Linked DNA regions of Cricetulus griseus. Each later gene encodes a partner of the first gene's protein in a complex. Links are inferred from orthologs where the notes say so. Each region holds a gene or a part of one and is shown in the gene's direction. Other genes may lie near its edges.

Region 1 (2,886 bases):
CGTGGCAGTACCACAAAAGTGACCCTTGTCAAGTTTGTCTGGTTATACATATCTGGCAGGATTATTAATCCTTTGGGATATGTACCATGGTCTTTTCTCATAATTTTACTTCTATCATTTTAATGTCTTTCCATGTCTTACTGTTTTCATTCATAGCCCATGTACTTAAGTTAAAAATGTTTTTACCTTTTATTTTTTAGTGTGCATGTGTGGCTTATGTACTTCCTCTGTTGCTCCCCACTTTATTGAGATAGGGTCTCTTAACTGAACCCAGAATTTAATGACTGGCAAGGCTGGCTGGCCAGCAAGCCTCTGAGATCCATTTGTCTGTCTCTGGGGTTGATGTCCTCTGCCAGGCGTAGCGTTTTAGATGAGTGAGGGGACCCAGAATAGGGTTCTTGTCTCTCTCAGCTCTTTTCCCACTGAACCATCTCCTAAGCCCCACCCATCAAGAATGATGATTTACTTATGTGTGTGTGTGTACATGAGAGACCGAGAGATCTGATTGTGTGTATGTGTATACATATATATGTACATGTATATGTGCCACTGTGGTCTGTGTGCGTGTGGTCAAGAACAACTTGCATGCTGGGCGTTGGTGGCGCACGCCTTTAATCCCAGTACTCGGGAGGCAGAGGCAGGCGGATCTCTGTGATCCTGCTCTCCAGAGTGAGTCCCAGGACAGCCTCCAAAGCTATGCAGAGAAACCCTGTCTCAAAAAACTAAAGAGAGAGAGAGAACAACTTGCATGAGTTGATTCTGTCATTCCTCCATGTGGGTCCTGGGATCAAACTCATGAGAAACTTTTGAGTCATCTTGCTAGGCTTGTAGGGTATAGACTACAGAAGAAGCTAGAATATTAATCATACCTTAAGGTACAGTTAACAAAGTACTGAATGCTTATATGTGCTTTGCAGTTTCTCCTTGCTTTAGAAATGGTTATACTTTCTTAGTGCATTGGTAGTTATTTTTAGAGTGTAATAGAAAACAAGTCATTGCTGTTGACAGCTAGTGTTGTATGATAGAAAATCAGTTTCAAAATTGTTCCCCAAGTGTATAGTCACATACTCAGAAGCAAGTTTGGAAACCAAAGATGTTATTTGTGAAATATCTATGTTTTTCATAATAGTGTTGTTCTTTAAAATATAATATTTTAATTGGTCTCACTGTTTACTGCCAGAAGTTAAAGTGCATTTTGCTAATCAGTCAGTACAACCCATGGCAAGAAAGATGGAGCTGTTGCCTGAAACTTCCTCCCTCCCACAAAAAAGTCTGAAGATCCCTGGTTTAGAACATTCAAGCATGGAAGGACCAATAGCAGTAAGTAAGAGCTAACTTAATGTGAGCAAGCACTGTGAGCCATGCAGTCATACACTTTTGTCTTTTTTAGGGTCTTGGAACTTAAAACTGATCCAGTACATGTCTTTGTCATGTGTTGTATAGATCTGAATATAGATATTTCCTTTTCTTATCTGAACCAGAATTTGTCAGCACTTGGAACAGAAGAGTTACGGCAACGAGAGCACTATCTCAAGCAGAAGAGAGACAAGCTGATGTCCATGAGAAAGGACATGAGGGCAAAACAGATCCAGAATACTGAGCAAAAAGGAAAGCCTTCCAGGGAGGTGGAGGTATGGCTAGCTTTAATGTGTTAATTGCAGACCAGGGGAAAAGTTTTTAGTTTGTGCAAGAAAGTCTCCGATGAGTTTTGTTGCTTGATCCACTCAAATTAATCATCTGCTAGTGAAACAGCTGCTAAGTCTTCTCTCGGGACAGTTTAAATGAGAATTCTCTAAGGTGGAAATAATTATTTCATTATATTTTTGTTGACTTTCTAGGTTGAGCTCCTTAGAATCAGTGGTCTGTCTTACCATTTCAAATGTTTGCAGTGTTCTGCTCATAACCCATGCTTCCCAATGCTTCTCCAGGAAGAGATCTAAGAAACTTGGTTGTTGACTTTTAAACATTTTACTGAAAATGCCTTTAGTTTTTGTTCTTTTAGAGAGAGCATGTTGAGAATTTTAGATATACAAAGCTAATTTTTAATTGTAGCCAATTTCTTTTTTTTTTTTTTTAAAGGAAATGACAGAGAAGCCAGAAATGACAGCAGAGGAGAAACAAACATTACTAAAGAGGCGATTGCTTGCAGAGAAACTTAAAGAAGAAGTTATTAATAAGTAATATGAAGAGATAGCAAAACAGAAGCCCACATTTTCTTAAAAATAAATTATTTAATCCTTAAACAAAGACTGTTAGTTTCAAGCAAATGCAACTATAAGCTCACTATTATTATTTTAAACAGGTAAAGAGCAAGAGGAAAGGCAGAAATTTCTGCATAGAACCAGGTATGGTGGTGCATGCCTATAGTACTAGTACCAGGACCCTGGAACAGGAGGGTCAGGAGTTCAAGGTCATCCTCAGTGACACAGCAAATGGGGAAAACAGCTTAGGTTACACAGACCTGTCTCAAATAACTCAAATAAAGAAATAATAAAACAAAGAATTGGGTGCTTTCTCTTCAAAGGGGGTCACAGAAAGAAATTAGTTGATAGTGCATGCTTTCATTCTTACTAGACACAGTTTGTTAGACTGACAGGGTCCCGCTTTAATAGGGCTATAGAAGGCCCAAGGAACAGTGTTAGAAGAGGAAAGTGCAGTGATAAGACGGCAGGCTGGCTGTGCTGCCTTGAGCAAGTAAGCTGTGAGCTGTCAGGTGATTTCAGAGAAGAGGGTATATAGTAGTTTAGAAACATGCTTTGACGCTGAACTGGAACATGTGAGAGGTGGCAGGAGGTAAGGTTAATGAGAAAATCCTTGTGGGGAACTGGAAACTTTGATTTTTAAAGGTGTGGCTGCTGTAGCAAGACAGACAGGTGTACTAGTGTA
Region 2 (4,228 bases), on another chromosome or scaffold:
GGTTCACACTTTAAACCCAGTACCCTGGAAGCAGGCAGATTTGTGAGTTTAAGGCCAGTGTGGTCTACAGTGAGATCCAGGCCAGCTAGAGTTACATAGTAAGACGCTGTCTCAAAACAACAACAACAAAATAACAAAAAAGCCCTGAAAACCCATTCAAGAAAAATCTATCTTTGTTTCAATATTAACCAGGTTGGTAGGAAGAGGGTGAAGCCTGAAACCCAGATTAAACTGTTAATAATATGTAGCACTTCCTTTGGGGCAGGCGGTGTTCTATGGACTTGACAGGTATACATCAGCGACTTCTGGAGGTACCATCTCTATCTAGACCATCAGCTGTTAGAAAAGTTCTCTGTTACTGGTATAAACTACTCTGCGGCGAGGAACGCAGTGTAGCTCAGTGGTAGAGCGCTTGTCTATCCTGCTCAAGCCCGAAGGTAGACAGCACTCCTCTCCCTGGGCCACAGTGTTTACAAGCAACACTGTAAAACTGTTTGCAAGTTAGTTCGTGTCCCAACTCTTATCACCTACAATAACTGACTTCTAGAGTTGAACGGAAATAAATTCTGTATATAAAGATTCCACTAGGAAGAATACAATTTCTACGAAGACAGATTGTACCAGTGTCGAGAACCTGACCTGGCACAGAGGCAAAGGGAACTTTCCAGAGGTCCTGTGCATGGGAAGTCGCGCTTGCAGTCCTACGTGGCTTAGCAAAACTCGGCGGATCCGGACGATCTAACACTCCCGCTGTCAGCAGACCTCGATGCTAGCGGACCGGTCCCCAATCTCCCTATCGCCCTCTCTCAAGCGATCTCCCCGAACCCAGCAGAAACCACCTATCCTGCATTCTAACGAAACCGTGGAGACCGTGGCGCTGCCCATAGCTCCGGTACCCCAAAGCCTGGCACCCGAAGACAACGGGGGTCAGAGGCGAGGAGCCCATTGGAGCCGTGGTGCGTCCCACCCGCCATGCGGCTCCTGCAGAAATCCAGCTCGCAGTGCCTGGCAGCCCCACCAGAGCAGAGGCAGGCTCCCTTCTGCGACGCGGAGACTGGAAATACCTGCACTTGAGTTCCCTTACCTGGTCCCAGAGGGATGCACCCTGAGACAGCCACCAGGTTAGCGGACTCGGAAGGTTGAACTGGAGTACCTCGGCTAGGCCGGGGACCTCCCCCTCACACTACGCCCCCTTTCCTGACCAATCACAGGCCACAGGCTCCCGCCGGCCACGTGGGCGGTCTCGTCCCTCCCGCTGGGTCGCATGCCAGCCCGCCCTGGCCTTCCGCCGCTCCCAAGACCGCCTGCGCAGTGGGCGAGCGCCTTGGCGCGCTTGCGCACTTTGGGTAAAGAGGAGTAGAACCCCGCCCCATCCCGCTGCTCTGCTTCTCCGCTGTGCGTGCCAGGGACGTCAGGGGCGGCGCCGCAGCAGTTACCCCTGGTAACGGGGGAGGCAGAAGGAGGAGGAGGCGGAGGAGGAGGAGGGACTCGGCTTGAGGATGGTGAGTGTGGGGGCCCCCGATCCCTCTGGAGCTGGCCAGTCACCCCCCACCACACCCTCGCCTCCTGTCCCCAGGCCCAAGGCAGGGCGCTGCGCTTAGGGGACGTAGGATGGCGCTCGCCTTGCTCACTAGGGTTCTAGATCGGTTTCGGGGGCGAAGGGGTACCCCAGAGATGGGCCCTGGAGAGAGGCCTAGGCCTGGGAGGAAGGAGGGATTTGCGATGGGTCCGAGGCTTGGGGAAGGGACTTGCAGAATGCTTGGCTGGCGGGGAAGGAGCCTGGGCTCCATCTTCACTCCGGGCACTGGGATGGGATGAAGGCGGCTCCGGGGAGGTGAGGAGATCAGGCCAGACACACAGGCTTAGCTCTTGCTGCAGAGTCGACTTCTCGGCGCCTCGGGACCGTAGGATCCGTCTGAAACCCGGACAGAAGTGGCAGAGGCGCGATGCTACTGTCTTTGAGATCACCCTGGCGGCACCAGGGAGATGTAACCTAGTTTTCCTAGATGCTCGCCGTCTCTGAGTGAGGTGTGCTGGGACCAAGTCCCAGGACAAAAAGAGATGCGGCTGGGAATGGATGCCTGATTCACGTCTCCGTGGTGGGTGCGCTCCTGCTGAAAGTTCTGCAGGGTCTAATGGTTGTTGATGAGCGATTTTTCTTTCCGTATCTATTTCATGTTAATAGAAGCAAATTAGCCTCCCGTGTCTTAGCATTTCCTTCAAACTTGTTGCAGCGTCCTTTTGCATGTGGCCGCACAAAAGGTCTTCCTTCCAGTAAGGCACCTCAAACTAAAAAGAATGAGAAACTGTTAAGAGTGGGCGTCAGTTTGAAGCAAGCCTTCTCTCCGTTAGCCATAATTATAAGGCTTTTCCAAATTGCAAGTTACGGTATGTGACGGATTTAACCGGGGACACTCCGTTCCTTGTTGATTTTTTTAATTGTTATTTTATTTAATGTGTATGGGTGTTTAGCCCGCATAAATTTTTTGCACCACGTGTGTGCCAGGAAGAGGGCTTTGGTCTCCTGGAATCGGAGTTAGAGATGGCTGTGAGCCAGCATGTGGATGCTGGGAAGTGAACGCTTCCTCTGGAAGAGTGTCAGTATTGCTGAGCGACTATCCAGCTCTCCTTGTTGATTGGTATGCTGTAGATAGAGAGTAAAAAATAAAATTAAGGGGAAATGAAAACTTTTAGAGTTAGTCAAAGAAAACTTAAGGCACTTAGAGCAGGTTGGTTGGCTTACTGACTGCTATGAACCAGTTTCTTTTGCTTCCCCCTACCCCTCATTATTTTTGTGAAAATACTGAACTACTTCTGTTGTCTTAAGAAGAGAAGGCTAGGGTATAGTTCAGGTGGTAGAGGTTAGTTTAGCAGGCACAAAGCTCTGCATAAAACGTAATATGGTAGTGCCTGCCCAGCACTCCAGAGATGGAAGCAGGAGCTTCAGGGCTACATAGTAGCCAGGCAGGCAGGAGTAGGTACATGAGACCTGGTCACAAAAAAAAAGAAGAAAATAGGTGTCCAGGAGGAAAACGACACTACACATCTACTTTTGGTCAGTTTTGTGTGTGTGTGTGTTTGTTTTTCAAGACAGGGTTTCTTTGTGTGGCCTTGGCTGACCTAGAACTAGCTCTGTAGACCAGGCTGGCCTCAAACTCATGGTCAAATTACTAAACAAGCAAATTTTGACCAAAAAAATAAATAAATTTACATTGTCAAATTGTTAAGTAGAATTATTTAATCTAAGGTTGTCAATCACATCTCACACTTGTTACATTTACAGTTATTTCTAACCTCAGGCTAAACAGATTTTAACAAGTGTTTTCTTTTTATTATTTGTACATGAGCTGTCCATTTACAGGCTAAGTTTATCTTAATAAATGAGTACAGATATAAATATTTACACAGAAAATAAATGGATTTGAGAAAGTGGCCATGGCTTCTCACACCTATAACCTCCCCACTTGGGAGGTAGAAGGAGGCGGGTCAGGAATGCAGAGCCAACCTTGGCCACATGAGACTCTGTCTCATAAGAAATAGATAAATTTAAAACTAATGAAAATAATTAGAACTGCGATTTGAAAGGCATACCGGGCTGGGTGTGGTGCCTCATGCTTATAATCCCAGGACTCTAGATGCTAAATTAAGAGGATCACCATGAGTTAAGAGGCCATCCTGGGCTACAGTTAGTTCCAGGTCAGCCTCAGCTACAGGGAGACCCTGTTCCAAATACCATTCCCTTAAAAGAAAGCCACATGCCAGACCAAGAGAAAATGAGATTTCTTATAGATGAGAAACATCAGAGTTGTCTATCTTTCTTCAGTTTATCAATTGAGTGGACTGTTTCATTTCACAATTGCTTAACTTATAATTATAGGTCATAATAAGTAAACCACTGCACATGTTTCTAGGTGCAAATTGGCACTGTACATAAGTATATAACAAATTGACCTTGTACATATAATATTATTGGATACCACTAAAGTATTCAATGCTCAAGAATAAATCTAAAAAAAAAAAAAAATTGACATGTCTTAGTGTTTTGCCTGAGAGCATGTATGTGCACTCTGGGAAAGCCTGGTTCTCAAGGAGGTCAGAAGAGGGTGATGGATCCCCTGGAGCTACAGTCAGCTGTGAGCCACCGTGTGGCTGTTGAGAATTGAACCCCAGCCCTCTACAAGAGCACGTGCTTTCTTTATTTTCTGTTTTATTTTCTATGTGTGAATAT

What was found. The genes of interacting proteins can lie anywhere in the genome.
Region 2: the proteins of Cfap36 (region 1) and Arl3 are in contact, whole or in part, in a crystal structure (PDB 4ZI3), measured with the Mus musculus proteins. The link is inferred for Cricetulus griseus from reciprocal best matches to the Homo sapiens genes CFAP36 and ARL3. Residues at the interface, in NP_080016.1 of Mus musculus: Glu44, Glu45, Ser46, Lys47, Leu48, Thr51, Glu52, Lys58, Val61, Glu62, Leu65, Glu76, Phe79, Gln80, Cys83, Thr84, Ala88, Lys89, Leu97, Val100, Leu101, Ala103, Glu104, Asp105, Phe106, Thr107, Ile108; in NP_062692.1 of Mus musculus: Leu3, Leu4, Ile6, Leu7, Arg8, Lys9, Leu10, Lys11, Ser12, Arg19, Lys35, Glu40, Pro47, Thr48, Gln49, Gly50, Phe51, Asn52, Ile53, Lys54, Trp66, Ile74, Tyr77, Ser80, Tyr81.

Annotation. Positions count from the first base shown.
Region 1 is NW_023276807.1:78,070,668-78,073,553, forward strand, and holds the end of Cfap36 (cilia- and flagella-associated protein 36), read left to right. Parts: intron 1-1,180; coding exon 1,181-1,320; intron 1,321-1,481; coding exon 1,482-1,631; intron 1,632-2,079; coding exon 2,080-2,181; 3' UTR 2,182-2,247; downstream 2,248-2,886. UniProt on the Homo sapiens protein: May act as an effector for ARL3.
Region 2 is NC_048596.1:14,998,063-15,002,290, forward strand, and holds the start of Arl3 (ADP-ribosylation factor-like protein 3), read left to right. Parts: upstream 1-1,347; 5' UTR 1,348-1,499; coding exon 1,500-1,502; intron 1,503-4,228. UniProt on the Homo sapiens protein: Small GTP-binding protein which cycles between an inactive GDP-bound and an active GTP-bound form, and the rate of cycling is regulated by guanine nucleotide exchange factors (GEF) and GTPase-activating proteins (GAP).